4 linked regions of the Rattus norvegicus genome follow. The protein of the gene in region 3 purifies or fractionates together with the protein of the main gene of each other region. This does not show direct contact. Links are inferred from orthologs where the notes say so. Each region holds a gene or a part of one and is shown on either strand. Other genes may lie near its edges. The genes, in order: Arhgef6, Git1, Pak2 and Git2.

What was found.
Region 1: the proteins of Pak2 (region 3) and Arhgef6 purify together in Homo sapiens (affinity purification with mass spectrometry; 3 studies listed by BioGRID and IntAct, counting the BioPlex papers as one, with this or other methods). This does not show direct contact. The link is inferred for Rattus norvegicus from reciprocal best matches to the Homo sapiens genes PAK2 and ARHGEF6.
Region 2: the proteins of Pak2 (region 3) and Git1 purify together in Homo sapiens (affinity purification with mass spectrometry; 5 studies listed by BioGRID and IntAct, with this or other methods). This does not show direct contact. The link is inferred for Rattus norvegicus from reciprocal best matches to the Homo sapiens genes PAK2 and GIT1.
Region 4: the proteins of Pak2 (region 3) and Git2 purify together in Homo sapiens (affinity purification with mass spectrometry; 3 studies listed by BioGRID and IntAct, with this or other methods). This does not show direct contact. The link is inferred for Rattus norvegicus from reciprocal best matches to the Homo sapiens genes PAK2 and GIT2.

What each region holds. Positions count from the first base shown.
Region 1 is NC_086039.1:140,255,434-140,260,643, reverse strand, and holds part of Arhgef6 (rho guanine nucleotide exchange factor 6), read left to right. Parts: intron 1-339; coding exon 340-464; intron 465-3,286; coding exon 3,287-3,488; intron 3,489-5,210. UniProt on the Homo sapiens protein: Acts as a RAC1 guanine nucleotide exchange factor (GEF).
Region 2 is NC_086028.1:62,849,481-62,853,497, reverse strand, and holds part of Git1 (ARF GTPase-activating protein GIT1), read right to left. Parts: intron 3,872-4,017; coding exon 3,823-3,871; intron 3,537-3,822; coding exon 3,464-3,536; intron 2,972-3,463; coding exon 2,874-2,971; intron 2,533-2,873; coding exon 2,421-2,532; intron 2,308-2,420; coding exon 2,174-2,307; intron 2,028-2,173; coding exon 1,875-2,027; intron 1,758-1,874; coding exon 1,527-1,757; intron 1,454-1,526; coding exon 1,400-1,453; intron 1,274-1,399; coding exon 1,187-1,273; intron 1,099-1,186; coding exon 1,025-1,098; intron 900-1,024; coding exon 717-899; intron 597-716; coding exon 533-596; intron 403-532; coding exon 190-402; 3' UTR 1-189. UniProt on the Homo sapiens protein: GTPase-activating protein for ADP ribosylation factor family members, including ARF1.
Region 3 is NC_086029.1:82,243,324-82,248,533, reverse strand, and holds part of Pak2 (serine/threonine-protein kinase PAK 2), read right to left. Parts: intron 2,409-5,210; coding exon 2,308-2,408; intron 7-2,307; coding exon 1-6. UniProt on the Homo sapiens protein: Serine/threonine protein kinase that plays a role in a variety of different signaling pathways including cytoskeleton regulation, cell motility, cell cycle progression, apoptosis or proliferation.
Region 4 is NC_086030.1:47,488,519-47,494,346, forward strand, and holds the start of Git2 (ARF GTPase-activating protein GIT2), read left to right. Parts: upstream 1-1,886; 5' UTR 1,887-1,976; coding exon 1,977-2,028; intron 2,029-5,596; coding exon 5,597-5,730; intron 5,731-5,828. Other genes in the region: Ankrd13a (ankyrin repeat domain-containing protein 13A), read right to left, coding at 1-271. UniProt on the Homo sapiens protein: GTPase-activating protein for ADP ribosylation factor family members, including ARF1.

The sequences.
Region 1 (5,210 bases), on a different chromosome or scaffold from region 3:
TGTTTGGTACCCGATATAGGTCTGCCTTGGGTAACACGGCATACATACTGTGGCAACTGGTTCCGTAAGGGAAAGTTGTAGGGAAATGGGTTAGGAGAAAATGTGGTTCTGCCGCTGTTTTTCATTATACTGGACAGCAGTGGCCAGTAAGGTTAAGAAGAAAAAAGTTGGCCATTGAAAAGAAAAAAGGGAGGGGGAAGCCTAAAAACACAGCCTGTTCAGAGTGATAGTATCCCAGAAGCCACTAGGATGGCTTCGGCAATGTCCTGGGCTAGAGTGTACTGTAGGTGGTTTCCTGCTGCAAGTTTTATTTATTTATTTGTTTTCCTCTCTTCACAGATCAGCTATCAGAAAGACCATGTGGACGGTCCTCTTCTCTTAGTGCTACGACCAGCTCTCAGACAAACCCACAGGCAGCCGTTCCCAGCACAACTCCAGAGCAGCAAAGCGAGGAAAAGGCAGCGGTAAGTAGCATCTGTCCCCATTCCCTACTCCACTTTGTTTTAAAAATCTCTCAAGTGGGATGAACATCTCCCATGTATTTCCATGTGCACTGAGGTAGATATTCTGTTTGTTTGGGGTTTCACCAGAGTATGAGGTACAGAGTGAACTTCTGTTCAAGCTGGAATACTGGGAGAAAGCAGGTAGGGGAACTCCTCAGGGCTGAAGCTCTGTTGTTTACTAGAATTTAGCTAGTCACTAACTGGGAATGCTATGCAAATGTCAGTCATTATGAGTGCTCCTGATGGTCCTTTGCTGTCATTTACCCTACCCCAAGAGCTAATTAGAATGAATTATTACCTGGCACTCACAGGCAATCAATAAATACTCATTATTGTTCTGGTCTTGATTGCAGTTTCTTTTGTTTCCTTGCATTCCTATTGAGCAAGAAGGAAGCTTAGCTGGATGTGGTGGCACAAACCTGCATTCCCAGCTCTTTGGAAACTGAGGCAGGAACATCACTAGTTTGAGGTTAACCTGGGCTATATTGTACATTCAAGTTTGGTGTGTAAAAGAAGAACCACTTTTAAATATGAGCCCATGATACATCTCTATACTGGATCTCCTAGTTGTCTTCAAATCTGCTCTTAGACCTATGGTTCTCACCTTCCTAAAGCTGTGACTCTTCAATACAGTACCTCGTGTTTTGGTGACCCCCAACATAAATAAAATCATTTTCACTGCTACTTCATAACTGTAAGTTTGCTCCTGTTATGAATCATAATGGAAATATCTGTGATTTCTTATGGTCTTATGCAGCCCCTGTGAGAGGTTTTCAACCTCCAAAGGGGTCTCCACCCACAGCTTAAGAACCACAATCTTAGAAACTTTGATTTTGGAGGAAATGCCATTTTCTATTCTTTCACTCTTGTCAAAGATATTGGCTTACTGTAGGCCACCACAACTTGTTATTTCCAGAACGTCTAAACAGGTGCTTCTTATCCTTTTGAGGTCACCTCTTCCTTCTCATTCTTTTCAGATAGGCTCTCGCATAACCCAGCAGGGCATAAAACTTGCTATGTCCTGGGGAAGGTTGGGGGGAGAATGACCTTGAACTTCTGATCCTCCTGCCTCCGCCGGCTAAGAACTAGGATTACAGGTGTGTGCAATCGTACTTGGTTTGCACAATGCTGGGGATCTAAGCAGGGCTTCTTGAATGCCAGATAAGCACTCGGCCAACTATGTTACTGCCAAGCAGCCCCATAGAAAAGCTGTTGAATGCTATGACACCATATTCTTTGCCCTCTCTTAAACTGTGTATAAAAGCTCATGTGGGTAACCTAATATGAGCAAAGAAAGCTACACTGGGTTTATGAGAGTCTCATAAGGATCTATGACCTTCAGATGTTAAACCCAGAACTTCTGACTTACATAATTGTGACTGTTATGAGGTAGTGTCATAGAGCCCAGGCTGACCGTGAACTCTCTGTGTAGTGGAGGATACCCGTGAACTCCTTATCTTTTCCCCTTCAAATCCTAAGTGTTCAGATCATGCATGTGTACCTTCACCTATCCAGCTTAATATTGATCACAGCCTAACTGATCTTTACTTATGACGGGGCGCTGGCCTACTTCAGATTTGTTAGTAACTGTGAGGTGGGAGTGATTTTTCCAAGAGTAGGTTAGTAGCTAATATTTACACCGAGTTTTATGTTGGAGAGAAGCAAGATGGAATGGTGTATTAGTTTACTTTAGTAGCTTGTTCAGCTAAGTAGCCAGGTTTAGAAAATGAAGAGGAGAATGAAAGCTGTGACTCTCTCAAAAATATATGTTCTGAGAAATGCAATTTTTATTTTAAAATTTATTATTATGGTTGTTGTTGTTTGTGTGTTTTATCTGTGTATGAATGCAGATGCACGTGAAGATCAGGGAACACCTTTTAAGAGTCAGTTCCTTCCTTCCTTCTTTCCTTCTTTCCTTCCTCCCTTCTTTCCTTCTTTCCTTCCTTCCTTCTTTCCTTTTTTCCTTCCTTTCCTCCCTCCCTCCCTCCTTCCCTCCCTCCTTCCTTCTTTCCTTCCTTCCTTCCTTCCTTCCACCATGGGCTCCAGGAAGGGAACTCAGGTCATCATCTCCCTGAAAACATTTGCATATGGATACGAAGGGGTTGGTAAATTCCCCTGGACCTATTTGTAGACTCCTAGATTCAAAGCTGAGGCTAGGCTAGGCAAGGCAGAATGTCATATGCCTGCAATCCTAGATTCTGGGAGGCTGAAAGGCAGGAGAACTGCTGTGAAGCCTGCCCAGTGTACAGAGTGAAGCCCTGGCCAGTCTGAGCTAATATGAGACATTGTCAAAAAAACACAAAAATAAAGTAATCAAATGAAATGAGCTTGGAGTTTTACTCTTTTTTAAATTGAAAAAAAATGTGGGTATAGGTGTTTTTTTAAAATAATCTTTTTTTGGGGGGGGGTTCTTTTTTTCGGAGCTGGGGACCGAACCCAGGGCCTTGCGCTTCCTAGGTAAGCGCTCTACCACTGAGCTAAATCCCCAGCTCCAGGGTATAGGTGTTTTATCTGCATTATGTCTGTTCACCACTTACAAAAGTGCCCAAAAAGGCCAGAAAAAGGCATCAGATTCCCTGGAACTGGGATTACAGATGTTTGTGAGCTGCCATGTGGGTGCTGGAAATCCAACCTAGGTCCTTAAGAGGAACCAGCATTGTTAACTGCTGAACAGATTCCTGGGGTTATAATTTTCATCACTCCACTTTGTCTACATATGCATAATGTCTATGCATGTATCCATTAGCTAGACAGTTAATCTGATGTGGCTTTTGTTTCTCTAGGAGATGACGGAAAATGGAAGTCACCAGTTGATAGTAAAGGCAAGATTCAACTTCAAGCAGACCAATGAAGATGAATTGTCAGTGTGTAAAGGGGACATCATTTATGTCACTCGAGTTGAAGAAGGAGGCTGGTGGGAAGGCACATTAAATGGGAGAACCGGATGGTTCCCTAGTAATTATGTTCGAGAAATTAAACCCAGTGGTAAGTAAAGCTTTTAAAGTCTTAAAACTCGTTCTTTCTTGGCATTGTTATTGAAAATGTTTTATTTTAAATTGTTTAACACAGTTGATACATGTATGTCCAAAATAAGACTAGACTAGAACTGGGAATAATTAGATATGTTGAAACAAAGCTGTATTTAGATTACGGGAAAGCTAAATAAGCAAAGGAATCCAATGTTCAGGCAACTGCTCGACTGTAAGCATGAGCCTCTCTGCCCACTGAGTCTAGCCCAGAGTCCTTCCTGCTCCTCTCAGAATCACCATGGCAGAGGACAATAACAAGAGAAGCTGAGAGCTGACTTCCCTTTTTAGCTCTCCAGTCTTTCAGCAGACGTCAAGACTGTTAAGACTGCCTCAGAGATGTGTGAGAGAGATAACAGTCTCCCTGCAGAAAGCTGTCTGACCACTTTGAGAACAAGGTTGCCCTTAGCTTATTGTAAATCATGAGCTACTTTTCCCTTTCTTGAACAATGAACACAAAATAGACTCCAATTGCTCTTGAGAAGTCTCTTTCAGAGGCTTTTGGTAACTTATTTGTCCTTCTTAAAAAAGAAGGAAGATTCTTCTTAGAATAATAAGCAGAAATTAGCAGTCTTGTGGTGTATATCTGGTATCCTAGCCCTGGGGAAGTAGAAGCAGGCGGGTTAAGAGTTTAAGGTTATCCTTTCCTATAAAAGAAGTTTTAGCTTGGACTACTTCAGACTTTGTCTCAAACCAACCAACGACAGAAATAGACAGAACCCTTCCAGAACCAGTTTATGATAATACATAGACAGATAAAAGTGCTGTTATCATAGCTCTTCTTTTCTAAAAAAAATATTTACCCAAGGGCTCCTTTCAGTGGCTTGATTCCCAGTGTCTTACTTCTTTTGTATGTACTCGTTTTTATTTTAGTGCTTCCAAACTGGTAGGTCTAGTGGATTAAGGTGCTTCCAACCAAGTGTGTCTATCTGAGTTCAAGCCCCAAGACCCACAGAGTAGAAGGCAAGAAACAACTGCCAAGGGTTATTCTCCGACCCCAAGATATACAGCAGAGTGCATGCCTCCTAAAGCAAACAAATAATTTTAATTAAAAAATAAAAACCAATATTGTATGGGCCAGTGAGCTGCCCCGCGGGAGAAGGTGCTTGCTGTACAGCCTGGCCCTTGTCTGATCCTAGAACCCATGGAAACGTGGAAGGAGAGAAGCAACTGCCTAGAGCAGCCACTTCTTGACCTCGGCATGGCTGGAGAGCCCTTCCCCTACACACATCATGCTCACATATACACAGAATATCTTTTCACAATGATACTTTTAATTAATGAAAATATAGACTCACTCTAAATAAAATATTCCATAAGTATAGTATAGTTGCTGAAAATTCCTTCTCCTTCCGTAGCTTTTTTCAGGTAACTATCGCTTTAAGAAGATATTCCTTCAAGAACTTAAGTTGTAATTTAGCCGTGCCACTTTCTGTGTTCTAGGATAGGGGATGGGAGCGTCTCATTTAATGGAATGTGTTTGTGTTTGTGAAGGATTTATAAATTTTTGTTTGCATGGATCTCTCATCAGTTTTTGTCATGCTTGGGCATGGTCCTACCTAGTACATGTTGGGCAAGTGATTTACCTCTGATCCAGAGTCCCAGACCTCAACATTTTTATTTACTGGAATTGAGGCGTTTCTTTTTAAGCTCTGAAGTCTTTTCACAGACCGTGCCTGGA
Region 2 (4,017 bases), on a different chromosome or scaffold from region 3:
TGTCACCTCACATTCCCATCCTTGGGGCTTAAGGGGGTGTGGACACCAGGGCACCTGGATGCCAGAGGAGAATGGTGGCACTAAGGGCACTTGTGCCAGTGGCTCTGTTGGGGGTGGGTTAGTGTCTGGAGTGGCCCAGCTCCCATGGCCAGTGAGGTCCCAGGGTGTGGGTAAGGGCAGGGAAAGTGGTCACTGTTTCTTCTCTCGGGTGGTGATGGTGACCAGCTGCTTGGCAGCCTTGGCGATGTCATAGGCGCACTGGATCACCTGCTGAGTCAGTAGCTGGAAGTCCACAGGGGCGCCAGGTTCTGGAGGCACTGTCTTCCGGCATTCACTCTGCAGCCGGTAGGCGCTGGCGTTGAGCAGCCGCAGTGAACTGCGCACAGGCTCCAGGGCTGGCCTCTGGAGGGAGGAGGGAGGAGGATGAGCCCTGGACTTTAAGCCAGGTTTCTGACTGGCTCCACCCAGGCAGCTTACCTGCCTCTGCCCCACCCGAAGGCCCTCCCACTCTGCTTATCTGTGGCCCCTGTACCTTTGGGAAGAGAGAGGCCATCTCAGTCACAGCCAAATGGATCTTTTCTGAACAGGGCACAAAGCTGTCAGGGAAGAGAGAAGTTGGATGAGGGATTTCTCAGAGTCCCAGCATCAGAGGACCCTAGTTAGCAGTACCCTCCACCCAGTAGTCACAGGTTAACAAGAACCTGTGCCCACCCTACCTGTCATGTTTGAACTCCTGGGCTGCCCGCAATAGCTCCTGAATGTTCTTGGTGACCTGCTCTGTCTTTAGGATGACATCTTCTGTGCTGGGGAGCCCGGGGTCTGGGTCTCCATCTAAGCTCTCCAGCTCAGCGTGCAGCTCATCCTCCTTGCTCAGCTCTAGGAATCGCTTCCCTTCAAGTCTAATCCACGTGTGGAGAGAAAAGGAGCCATTCTAGTCACTGACGGCCTGCCTGCACCTGCACGGCTGGGCCCTCACCACCTCCCCCCGGTGCTGGCAGAGCTGGGAGGACCCACAGATGCTCACCCCAGCAGAGGCTCTCCACTCTGTGTGTTCTCATAGTCACTCTCTGCGCCACTGCCGTGGCGTGAAAGCTTGCTCTGGAGGGGGGGGGGAAGGGTGATGGGTGAGCACACAATCTGGAACTGTAAAGCCCACACCATCCCTGGGCACTGGGATGAACATTACCGCATGGCGACTTCCTTCTTGGGAGCTTGACAGCAGTGGGGAGGAGGGAGTGAAGGTCACAGAAGAGGCAGACACCCCCTTCCGGATCTGAAAACCAGGGAAGGGCCAGAGTCAGTTCCCACTGTAGTTCAGTGTCCCAGTGCAGCTTCACAGCTATTGGGGCTGGTGACTCACTGGTGCAGGGTTCACCCTCCGTCCCCAGGTCCTGCTTACCCGGTAAAGGCCAGCAGGGACATGTACTGAATAGATGGCATCATCTTCCAGCTCCTGAGGGAAGCAGAACAGTGTCATGATAAGCTGTGACCCTATTTTCCCCAACCAAGGCCAGCAGGCTACTCACTGTGCTGTGGAAAGGCTGGAGCCGTGTGGCGAGCTCATCCCCAGGTGCACCTCCAAAGGGCTTCAGGGCGGAGCCTGGCTCATACATAGAGAAGGCCTGGCGGTCCCTGCGATGGGTACTTCCACCAGGGCCCATGAGTGTGTGTTCTGCCCGTTCACTGGGAAGTGAGGGTACAGGCACTGGTCCTGGTGGCTGCCGGAGCTGCAGGTTCTCTGCCTGCAGTTTGTGGATCTGAGTGTACATAATGGTGTCCACCTCTGGGTCAAGGTAGGTACCACCTTTGGAAAGGGTGACCCCACTCCCAGAATCTTGGATGCTTTTCTGCCACTCCCCGGCCACAGTGCTCACCTCCCTCTGCAGCTTCCGAAGCTCGTCACTCAGACTGCTGTTGACTTTCATGAGCTGCTGCACTTTGGCCTCGGAGGTAGCCAGAGCCTTCTTCAGCTCCAGGTACTCCTGCAGCGTCACAGCCCCATCCGACAGATCTGAGGAGTCCATGCTCTGCAGGGACAGAAGCCAGTCAGTCTCAGGGACAGAGGTTGACCAGTGCTATAGGTCATGGAGTTAAAAAACATGGAGCTGGGTCTAGAGAGGCCAGAAGGAACAGAGGAGACTACGGGAGGGAAGAGCAGGGTCAGTTTTCAGACCCTGGCACGATTGTTCCGCGTGGCGCCAGCACTGGGCAAGGGCTCCTGGTCTGTGTCTTCGTCAGAAGCCACACTATCGTAGTCGTGCTGGTCGTCCAGGTCACTTTGGTTCCGTGCAGACAGCTCGAGGTTGTCTAAAGACAGAAGACCTGTGTCTCAGGGCTTGCTCAGTCACACACATTTATCGCGTGCCTGGGCAGAGGTGACCGAGGCCTGCAGCACCGCCGTGGCCTGCTCGTGCTCCCACCTGTGGGGCTGCTCAGACTCTTGCCCTGCTGCCTCCGTTTGGCCTCACTGAGGATGTCGATGATCAAGGTGGCAAACTCTCGGGCATTAAAACGAGCCAATTTCTGTCGTCCCTGCGAGGCAGAAAGGGCAAGGCCAGAATAAGGGACCACAGGTCTGGTTGGCTCAGGGGCTGGAACAGGACAACAAAGCAGGACCCTGCCATCCGCCTATTTGTAGCTAAAACACCCAGCCCCACATCAGCAGTGTGGCAGCCCAGGTCAGCAAAGGCACCCAAGGGAGCCCTTAGGAGGCTGAAGTACCCACCAGTACTAGAGAATAGCTTCATGCCATTCCTAGTCAGATCCTGAGGGAGGCCTCAGGAGAGCCTGCCTGGGTGCCAGCTTGTCTCTGGCAGGAAGGGCAGGGCTCTCAGAGAGGAAACCATCCAGGCCTCCTGCCTATCCCTCCTCACCTGATTCCGAGTGGCTGAGTATTCAGGGTTGACTGGCAGGAAGGGCACAGCACTGCGTTCTGTCACCAGGGTGCTATGATTCTGGGTAGCTAGCCACACTGTGGGGGAAGGGCAGGGAGCAGATCACCCACTGTGAATGCACCCTCAGAGAAGAGGGGGAGGAGCACTGAGCAGAGCCCCCCAGGCCCTCCTCTATTCAGACTGGGCCAGTGTGGCAGGAAGCAGGGTCTCCACCAACACAAACTCTGGGCCAGGCCCAGTGAGGCCCGCCCACTGACAACACAACAAGGCAGGGCCCACCAGGCCAGACCCAGAGTTTGGGTTGGAATCTGGCTGTGGCCAGGGAGGAGTGATGCAGGGTAGGGGTGGAGCATGGCTGAGGAGACAGCCAGAGTGGGAGGCAGCCAGAGCAAGATGAGCCCCAGTGCCTGGTGGGTAGAGAGGCGGCTGGCTGCTGACAGCTTAGCGCTGCCCAAGGGTGTATGGGGGAGGGGGTCGTGTGTGACAGGGACTCCAGTGGCCTCTGAGCAGCACCCCCTTCCCTGGTTCACTGGGTCCTGGCTCTTTGTGGCAGGTCCCTTCTCCCTCACCTGCATCATTTTCTCTCCGGTCCACTTCGTCATACACATCCATGGCGAGCTCCTCAAAGAGCCGGTTGCTGAGCTAGAGGCAGAGAGGGGGCCCAGGGTCTGTCAGGAGGCTGTGTGATGTGGGAAGTTTCATGACCCCGCTGTCACCCAGCCTGTCCTAGAACTGAGGGGTGGGTGAGGTTCTATGTGCAAGGAAGAGTCCAGGTTACTTCCTCCTCCCAGAGGCGAGGCTCTGGACACACACTTGGAGGGCAGAACCAGGATCAAGACAAGGGCATGGGGAGGTGACTGGAGGGAGGAGCCTGGCAAGGCTGGAGAGGGCTGCTCTAAGAAGTCCTAGCTTGTTGAGGCAGACTCACTGCTTGTAGCTTCTTCTTGGCAGCTTTGGCCAATTCAGACAGATCCAAACTGTGGACAAAGGAGGGAGGAGAGAGGCCAGACATGAGGGACGGTCTGGGCCCTGCTGGTTACCTCCCAAGCATGCAGGGAACTCAGGGAGATGAGACCCCGAGGTCACACACCAACCCCCCCCCCCAACACCCAAACTTCACAGC
Region 3 (5,210 bases):
CATGCCCTAACCAAAAGAAATCCACAAATCAGTTACGGTTTAATGCTCTAATGAAAAACATTTCACAGGCCAACGACAACACCCAGGCAGTCGTGTTACGGAAGGCTCTGAGCTGCTGTGTGGGTGCTGGGAGCTGAACCAGGTCTCCTGCAAGAACAGCCAGTGCTCCGAACCTGAGCCCTCTACAGCCCTACTCACTTATTTTTGACACAGAGTTTTAACTATATAGCCCAGCCTGGCCTGGAACTCAAAATATTTTAAATTCCAGTTGCCTTAGTTGCCCACAGTTGCCTTAGTATTGGGATTAAAATGTACAGTGGTTTTATTCTGTTTTTTGAGACAGGGTTTCTCTGTGTAACCTCAGCCGTCCTAGGATTCACTTACTCTGTAGACCATGCTGGCCTCAAATTCAGAGATCAACCTACCTCAAATGCTGGGATTAAAAGTGTATGCCACCATGTCTGGCAAAAAGTCTAGGTTTTTTTAAAAGGACTATGTGGTCAACTGACAGGCTCTAGTGTGGTCCTCCAGTACCTTCCAAATTTTGTTTGAGATAGGATCTTCTACTGGCCTAAAATGCTACCAAATAGGTTGGGAGCGTGGAATCACGCAACAGCATTTGGCTTTTTTTTTTTTTTTTTTTTTTTTGGTTCTTTTTTTCGGAGCTGGGGACCGAACCCAGGGCCTTGCGCTTCCTAGGTAAGCGCTCTACCACTGAGCTAAATCCCCAGCCCCAGCATTTGGCTTTTTATGAGTTTTAAGGAAAGATCTGAATTCAGATCTTTTCATACTTGCAAGATAAGCATTTTGCCAACTGAGCCATCATCCTATCCCTAAAAGTTCATTTCTCTGTGTCTTAGTCATGGTTTTACTGCTGTGAACAGACACCATGACCAATGCAGCTCTTATAAGGACAACATTTAATTGGGGCTGGCTTACAGGTTCAGAGGTTCAGTCCATTATCATCAAGGTGGGAACATGGCAGTGTCCAGACAGGTATGGAGCAGGGGGAGCTGAGAGTTCTATGTCTTCATCTGAGGACTGCTAGCGGAACACACTGACTTCCAAGCAGCTACAATGAGGGTCTTAAAGCCCACACCCAATGGCACACCTACTCCACAGGGCCATACCTTCTAATAGTGCCACTTCCTGGGCCAAGCCTATACAAACCATCACACTCTGTACCTGTTTTTCATAACTATAATTGATAGGCTTGGCTCTCTGGAGAAAAGGGTCATCCAATTACTAATCCCTTTGAAGGCTATGCTCTGTATGTGACTGACTATTCTGCCTGCATGTACGTATGTCCACCTATATGTTTCATGCCCTCAGAGGTCAGAAACAGGTGTCAGATACACCGGAACTAGAATTGTGGATCATTGTGAGCCACATGTGGGTGCTGGACACGGAACCCAGATCCTCTGCAAGAGCAACAAATGCTCTAATTTTCTGAGTCACACTAATATTTTTATGACCAGTAAGAATTGATAACTAATTCTATGTAGTCAGTGTATAACCCCACACTCTGACACCTAAAAGCAGGAGAATTTAGAATTCCAGGTTTTACTGGGACATAGTGAACTTTGTTTTAAACAAACAACAACAACAAATAAAGAAAGGATCATCATATGGGATAGAAAAGTTCAATACCAGTCATGTGACCCCATAGTTATCACCTTGGCACATGGACAGCAGAGACAGGAGGACTAAATTCAAGACCAGCCTTAACTACAAAATAAAGTTTGTGGGAGGCCAGCCTGGGCTACATAAAAATCCAGTCTCAAAAAACCAGAGAGAAAAGTTAATTTTAAGCCTAACATTGAACAAAATGCTGGAGTTCCTTTTTTGGTTTCTTATTTTGACTGTGTGCACATTTTCAGAAGCCAGTGGATCATCTCAGGCATGGTTGTCTTCCTCCTTGAGAAAGGTCGCTTGCTCTTACTGCGTCACCATAACCACACAACTCCATGAGCATGCAGTCTCTCTTGTCCCCCACTACATAGTAGGAGCACTACAATTACTTTATCTGGTTATGTGCAAGCTGGAGATTTGAACTCAGGTCCTCATACTTGCATAGTAGGTCTTTCTCTCTCTCACGTTTTGGAGACTGGGTTTCTCCATGCAGCTTTGACTGTCCTGAAACCATGTAGACCAAACTGGTCCTGAAGTTAGAGATCCACCTGCCTCTGCCTCCCCAGTCCTGGATTAAAGGCTGCTACTGCCCAGCTAGTGAGTGCTTCTGTCCACAGAGCGATTCCCCAACCTTTCAGCACTGCTTTAATAAACAAACTTCAATTGGTAACTTACAGTGAACTCTCCCGTAACAGCATCAAAGCCAACATGGATGGTATGCTCAAAATCAGACGGCGGAGAAATCTCTGGCCGTTCTTTTTCTTTCTTTTTACTTCCTGAGGGATGAGGGAGAAAATTATCTCTTTAAACAAAGCTAATTATGGCATTTGTTACTGTGTTTGTATTTTCCTGAAACCAATTATGAATAAAATTATGATAGGACCCAGGTACACACATCTCGCGCCCTGACGGAGGGGGCCTCCAATGACACAATTTACAAACGCCACTTGTGAAAGCTGATTTCTTCCTTCATTCCCTTCCTCTTCTTCCAACTTGCTTTTCTGAGACAGGGCCTCATTTTCCAGCCCACACTGGCCTCAAATTCATGGCAATTCTCCTGTATAGCCTAAGAATATTAAGATTGAATGCATGAGTCACCATACCTGGCTTATACTTTCCTTTTTATTACAGTCTGTAAATATTACATCTTTAAATTACCCAACTCTCCTATAGTTGCACTGTAAAAAAAATTACTGCAACATCAGTAACATTTTTTGCACATTTAAACACATCAATTCCTTCTCCTCTCCAGTCCTCCTCCTCTAATCTGTAGCTCTTAAAACCATGAATCTATTTCTGGATGCTCTGCTCTCTTAAAGTCATCTCTCTATCATTATGCCAACCCCGTGTACCTTGATTACTGTCATCCTTATAACAAACATCAAAAGAACAGTCTAAGGCCTTTTTTTTTTTTTTTTTTTTTTTTTTACTGTTTTCAAATCTGCTAGGATGATTTCAGGTCCTCTACATTTCTATATGAAATTAACAATGCTTTACATTTCTACAAAAAGCCTTCTCAGGCTGTGACGGGAACTGCATTAACCTATAAATCAACTTAGAATTTATACACATTTTGCTTTCTGATCCATGGCCAATAACAAATCTTTATAAATTAGGAGTTTAATTTCTCTCAGCAATGTTTGCTAGTTATTGGGAGACAGAATACTGACCCTGCCATTACTTTCATATTTCTGTAAAGGAATACTTATTTTTGACGCTACAGTTTGTGGGTTGGAGTGTAACTCAGAGGTAGCTTGCTTGCTTAGCATGACTGGAGCACAGGGATCAGCCCCACCAGAGAACACAAAATAAACTTCATTCTTTAGGCCTGACCTTTGAACACTCTCTTACTTACTTTAAAATCTGTGTAGGCCTCACAGAGTTTTCTATAAGTAATATGCTATAGTGAACCAAAGAGAGGTGGCCATATCCTTCCTAATTTGGAGCTTTCTTACTCTTTCATTCATCGCACCTTACTGAATTGGCTAGTCCCCAGACCATGGTTAAGTAAAGGCCTTAGTAAGTATTTTTGTGTTTTTACTGAAACAGGAAATGAAAATAGTCAGTTTTTTTTAGTTTAATAAACAGTCAATGTTTCTAACATGCCCTTTATCAAATTTATTACATTTCCTTTGATTTCAAGTTTGCTCAGCACATGTCAGAAATGAATGTTGAGTTATGTTCAGTGTCTTTTCTACTTGTACAACCACACTGCTTATCCTAAGTTACACCACCTTAATCGTCCTTGCAGTCATGAAACAAGCTCTATCTGGCCCTGGTCTATCGCTCTTCTCACACATTGTTGGAGTACCACTGTTAAAACTTCGCCAACTTCAAGAGAAAAATATAGCTCTCTTGTAATGTTTTGGTCTGGGTAAACTGAAGTCACTAAATGTGTCAGAAACATCTCATATTCTATTTTATGGAAATTATATAGAATTGTTTTATTTCATCCATAAACATTTTATTGATTCACTAATGAAGATAGGTAGGTTTTAATAATTTTCTTTGTAGAAAGGGTTTTAGCTATAAACTCAATTCTTCTAGGACATACACAGTCTTTAATCATTTTTATAAAAGTAAACTTTGGAAATCTATATCGTTTAAGAAAAAAATTCACTTTCCATAACTTGAATTTATCAGTACATACTTGTATATAACATTCCATTGTGCCTTAGTGAAGACTGAACCTGGGCTTGTATGGGCTAACCAGATGCTCCGCCCTGGCTTTCACTCCCAATTCCAGCAAACCTTTCATTATAACCTGACATGCAATTTAAAACAACAACAACAACAACAACAACAACAACAACAACAACTACTACTTCACATAAACAGGTGGTAGTGGCACATGCTTTTAATCCTAGCACTCGGGAGGCAGAGGCAGAGGTAGGCAGATCTCTATGAGTTCAAGGCCAGCCTGGTCTACAGGGCAAATTCCAGAACAACCAAGGCTACACAGTGAAACCTCATCTCGAACAAAACAAAATATAAAAAAAAAGTAGAGTTCCTATAGGCTACAGTTTCGGCTGCTTTATTGATCATTTTTTGCAATTGGCTGAATCTAGTTTTATTATTCTTTCCCATCTATGCTGTATTTACTTGTTTGAGTTGTATGTATGATCCAATGAGGTTTAATATATTCATAATGTCACAATCATTATCACCATATAACTAGTATATTTTATCAACCCCTAAAGAAACCTTTTCTCGGGCTGGAGAGATGGCTCAGTTGTTAAGAGCACTGACTGTTCTTCCAGAGGTCCTGAGTTCAAATCCCAGCAACCACATGGTGGTTCACAACCATCTGTAATGAGATCTGACGCCCTCTTCTGGTGTGTTTGAAGACAGCTACAGTGTACTTATATATAATAAATAAATTTTTAAACAAACAAACAAACAAAAAAGAAACCTTTTCTCAATTAGCAATCACTCCTCATTCTACTCTAACCCTTCATCAAATAATAATGTCTTTTCAGTTTTTTATGACTTTTATGTGCATGTGTCTGCTTGAGTACATGCGCACTATTTATGTGCAGGTACCCTCAAAGGCCAAAAGAAGCCATTAGCTGCCCCAG
Region 4 (5,828 bases), on a different chromosome or scaffold from region 3:
GGGTCTCGGGGGCCCGCCCGACCGGACGGAGAGCGAGGGGAGGAGAGCGGCGAGCGGCCAAGTGCCGGGCGCAGCGGACGACAAGGGCCTCCGAGTCCGGAGCGGGCGGCGCGGGAGGCCCGGGGTCGCGGGCCGGGCTGGGGACCGGCTCGGGGACCCGCTCGGCCGCGCCCACCCCGCGCCCCGCGCGCTCGCGCCCGCGCTGACAGCTAGCGAACCGACTGCTGCCGGCCGAACCGCCCCGAACAGGGAAGTACGCGAGGCGTTCCATCACGCTCCGCGGAGGGGGACCTGACTTCCTGAACGGACCGAGTCCCGCTCCATGTCGCCCCACCAAGCCCCCACGCCTGGACACACGACCACCACCGTTCTGTGGAACTGCGGGACCCTTGGGAAGCCCGAGATCTCCACGCACAAAACCCACTGTGCGCGCCCTCCGACTCTCGTCCCCTGCCCGGCCTTCTCCAGTGGTGCGCTCCACAATCGGGCCTCTTCCATCGGCTCTGCCGCCCGGGGGTGCACGCGCAGGCCTGGACCAAACCATCGGACTGGAGCCTCCCTCAGCCGCCGCCTTCCGCGATTGGTCGGAAACCATTTTGGAAGTGGGCAGCGTGAAATCGTGTTCACAGGAGATCTGGACCCCGGATAAGTGACACCAGATACCCTCACTATCGGGGTAGTTGTGTCTCTGGGCTTTTAAACTTTGCAGTGTTTGAACTGGGGGGTTCTGTGCGCGGAGGTCATCCGATGCTTTGTAAGTTAGGGTGGACGCTCGCCTGTTCCATGCTGTCAGTACTCACACTATCCCCCAAACTGTCTCCAGACACGGGCAGTTTTTTCCCCTGGAGGAAGAAAACCGCCCTGTTGAAAACCGCTGTTCTGTCTGAATTTCCAACTCGGCTATAATTCAAAGTGCTTGCCGTGAAGGTTTATCCCGCATCAGCCTCACTAAGCTAACCACTCAGATTTAGGATTGTGGCCCAGAGGAGTATCCAGGTTGGTCCACAGTATGCACAAGTAAAATTCATCCTTTGGGTTGCGACTTCAGACACTGTGTCTTCTCGTCACAACGAAGAAACAAGTGCTGTCTCTGCCCAGGTGTTTACAGCTGCCACGAAGTCCTCCAGTGCAACCTGCAAAGCACCCCCTCTTCCTTATTGGCTCTATATACACAACCCATCTCTTCAGATGAGTGCGAAGGCTGTCCAAGAAAACTGACCACGTCCATTCTGCTCGGGTCTGGAGTCCTTGAAGAGTGAATGGAGCTAATACAGGATACAGTGACATAAAGACGGCACCTAGGGGCTGGAGAGATGGCTCAGAGGTTAAGAGCATTAACTGCTCTTCCAGAGGTCCGGAGTTCAATTCCCAGCAACTACATCGTGGCTCATGACCATTGGGATTCTATACCCTTTTTTCGTGTGAGCTGCAGCGTACTCACATACAATAAATAAATAAATAAATAAATAAATAAATAAATAAATAATAAATAAATAAATATTTTCTTAAAAAACGATGGTACCTAAAAGCTCTAATGGCAACTATCCATCACGTTGGATAAACACATTAGACTTCTGAGGCCTCTTCTGGACATAAACTTCACCGTTGTCTCTGGGAGATTATATGTATAGAGTTTTTGTCACAAGGCCTTGCTTCTTCCTCTGGTCCTAATCAGTCCTGGGACAAGAAATCACTTCCCAGATGGAAGATCCCAATTGCGAGAGTATCTAGAGACAGTCACAGGAGGCTTGGGCAGACCTCTGCCCTCATTCAAGATGGCGATAAGGAAGCGTGCCCTTTCCGGTCACATGACCCGCTGGGGCTCCGCAGGACGTCTCCCCGCGCGTGCGCAGTGCGCCGGGGCTGCGAGGCGCTGAGGGGAGAGGCGCCGCCAGCGCCGCCCGGGGACCCGTTAGAGCGGAAGCGCAGCCGCCGCCTCTGCCGTCGCGGGGTTCCCGGCAGGTGAGGTGGGAGCCATGTCGAAGCGTCTCCGGAGCAACGACGTGTGCGCCGACTGCAGCGGGCCTGGTGAGTGACGCCGGGCCCGCTCGCCGCGCTCTCCGGGCCGGGACCCCTGGCGGGGCGGTCCCCGCGGGCGGGAGCTTGACTGCGGCCCACTCACGCCGACCCCCGGGCGGCCGGGGCGCGAGACCGTCCCGGGCCTGTCAGCCTCAGGGTCCGAGGCTCCCTCCCTCCCGCGGCCCGGCAGAACGCAGAAGCAGAGGGCCTGGGACCGGACGGGACGGGAGGGGACGGAACGGGTTAGGCAGCCCCGGAAGGCCAGTGACAGGACAGGAGTCAGAGGCGGGCGGCCCGCGGCTGCAGGTGTTTCCCCTTCCCGGTCTCCCGCCCGCTGCGCCGTCCCACGGGCCCCAGGTGGAGGACCGCCCTACTCCGGGCGGCCGCTCCTGGGAGACAGACAGCCCCAGGTCGGGAGAACAAGTTTGAGGGTCTGAGTTCCCACCATATTTTGCCTCTGTGTGACCTTGGACTAATGGCTTTTCTTGTTCAAACCTTGATTTCCTCGGTTTTGGTCCCCCCGACCCCCCATGGAAACCCTCGCCAGTGCAGTGTGCACCGTGGTCAATGGATGTTCCCTGGGGATCATCTCTTTTGTAGGATGTCAACTCAGTTCAAAACCCCTTGTCGTTCGTTCCTTTAGTGACGTTTTGGCTTCAGAGTCGCACCAAACTAACACACTTGTCGCTGGCGGTATAAACTCCGCGACTTCGAAGTGCCAAAGCTGTTCTTACTGCAGATAGGACTTGGATTTGAACATTGGATCTGGCTTTGCAGTTGGGACCCAACTGACAGGTCGTGCTCTATTCAGGTCTTTAGGTGCTCATTTCGGTCCTTTGGACTTTTCGGGTTTGAAGTCAAATATCAGATGACTTTCTTGGTGCAGCGAGCAGTGTTCAGTAAACAGTCTTAATTGAGCCATTGAACATCCGCAGCTTGCAACTGGTTTTTCCTCTCCATCTTGTCATTTGGAAGCAGAGATTGGTTTTAAGTTGTTCCGGGGTAGCCTGTACTGGTTATCTCATGGCCTGGGTCCTACAGCTTTACAAGTGAAAGATAAAGGGAGACAGGAACAGTTTTAAAAGAGGGGCTTTATTTGAAAGCCAGGTTTATACTATCATTTCTAACATAGCTAACCGATGCTGTCTGTTCCGCTTCCTTCTTTTCTTGCCTGTGTTGATTCAAGTGTGTCTAACTTAAAACTTCCTCTTGGGAAGCGTGCTTCTTATTCCTCCAGGGGGATGGTACATGGCAGAGGCGGATGGCCTCCCCTTGGCATGCCGAACACTGTCTTGTCCATTCGTGGTATTTCAGGACCTTTTCTGTTGTTTTCATATTAGAAGTCTTGAAAAAAATCTAAAAAGGCTTGAGTCACTTCCTTCCTGTTTTGAGTAGAATGAAGCTACCTTGAAGGGTTAGGGACCAACTAGGAATGTGTGCTGCCTTTTGTGCACCGCTCAGGCCAAGGGTTACCTGTAGGACTAGGGCTCATTTGAAATCCTCATGCTAAGGCCTTCTCAGAAGTTGCTCAAATACTTAACTCTCCTGGACAACATTTGCATGAGATGAGTAGGGGCACAGATACTTTTGAAATCCATTTGTGGTGTTCATGGAGCCTGATTAAAAAGTCCTGCCTTGGGGTTGGGGATTTAGCTCAGGGGTAGAGTGCTTGCCTAGCAAGCGCAAGGCCCTGGGTTCGGTCCCCAGCTCTGGGAAAAAAAAAAAAGTCCTGCCTTCCAGATAGACTGGAAGGGCTTCACCCAACCTTACTAATTAAAAAGCTTAAATTTCATTTTGTGTGCGGTCAGTGTTCTTTCCATGGGTTTCTGATCCATGCGCTCAAGTGACTGATGGAGACCACTGCGTGATTCGTGGTAAGACGTTGCTGTCCTTTTCTGCCTGGTTTGCCCCGAGAGAACTGTGGACCTCTGATAATGAAAATCAAAGCCACACTTCCAGTCTTAATGTTAATGCCTTGCTGCAGAAGGCAGCGCTGGTGCATGCCTGCGTGAAGAGCCTCGAGTCTCCCACCCTTGCTTGCTCCTTAGAATGCCTGGTAGCACCAACGGTGAAATCTTTCCTGTTTTTGTTCTAGAAGCCACACTCCACTGTGATTATGTCTGTTTGCCTTTGTGTGCCAGGGATCAAAGCCAGGTCCTCACAATTGCAAGGAGAGCCACACCCTCTGGGCCCTGATTTCTTGTTTGTTTTTAATGAGTCTCGTTCATTTAAAATGCACCTTTCCTGCCCCACAGTGGCAGACACTATATTTATTTATTTTTTTCTTTTTTTGGGGGACCGAACCCAGGGCCTTGTGCTTGCTAGGCAAGCGCTCTACCACTGAGCTAAATCCCCAGCCCCTTATTTTTATTCTTTACATCGTCCCTCCTGTGAGATGTGTCACTATTCCACTTCGGTCCACAGTGAAGACACTCAAAGAAGCAGCTTGCCTCGTCAGATTATTGCACAAGATGTGACGGCAGGGTTGGGATTCAAACCATGGACTGTTTGTCTCCATAACCAACCCTCTTAACCACTGCACGCTCTGGCTCCCAGGGTTTTCTCTGATTGAAGTCCCACAACTTTTCATCACATGGTTTGCAAGGGTTGGAATGAACTTACAAATGGTAAAGATGTCTACATGCATCTCAGAGATTCTTACAGACACTGAAGAATTTAAAATGTAACCCTTATGCCAGGCAGCTAGAGTAGCACCTAGTGTCACCCCACTGTGAGTCTGATGAGATGGGGTTACTCACCCATGTGCATCCTACCCACCCAGTGTGAATTATTCCTTGTATGACAGGTTGTCGGAAGTTTTGTGGGATTTTTAAAGGGAAAAGGTACTGTACTCAACCAGAAGTACCATTCATTTTTGTTTTATGTCTGTTGGTTTGAAGCATCTTTCTTCAGATCAGCTGCACGACTGGATCCAGCAGGTGATCTAAAGCAGACCTGTCAGAGAGCATCATCTGAGCAGAGCGGACAACCCTTGCTTGCCTTCAGGCGCGGCAGCCGGGTGCTTCTGCTGTTCTCTTCTGGCTTCTGTTAGCACATGGGTCTGGACTTCCTGTTTCGGGCAGCAATAAATTCACAATTTACCTTAGCTACTGTTACACAGATAATCCACTGTCAGGTCACACAGCTCTGTTAGTCACAAAAAGGGGCTCAACTCGGTCACCCAGCTGGTGATCAGTGGTAGAGTGCTTGCCCTGTAAGGACAAGGCCCCAGGCTCAGTCTCCAACACCGCAGGAAAACAGTGGAGTGATCTACCTCTGCTGCCTCAATCTGCCACTTTAACTAGCGTTCCCTGAGAGCACGTGTCTGTGGTGTACACCCACATCCAGGCTGCAGACTGTGGCCTGCACAGGAAGGTGACTGCTGTGTGAGGCTGCCAGTCTACTTAGCAGAGTAATCACAAGGCGGGTAGGATCACCAGCTTCCTATCTAAGGAGCATATCAAACAACAAGACATGTTCTGTTTTTCTTAAAAAGCAAACGTCAGTCATCTTTTGCTATGCCTGTGCACAGCCACCAACTGGTGTCCTTACCACTGAGGTGTTGTTCTTTTTCCAGATCCTTCCTGGGCATCAGTGAACAGGGGGACTCTCATATGTGATGAGTGCTGCAGTGTTCATCGGAGCCTAGGGCGCCACATCTCCCAAGTCAGGCATCTTAAACACACACCATGGCCTCCAACCCTGCTTCAGGTAAGTGACAGGAAGAATTCTCAGAATTGGGAAATTACGCTTTAGGGATTGTTGTGTAGCAACTAAAGAACTGCCTAATACACATCCTACGTCTTAGG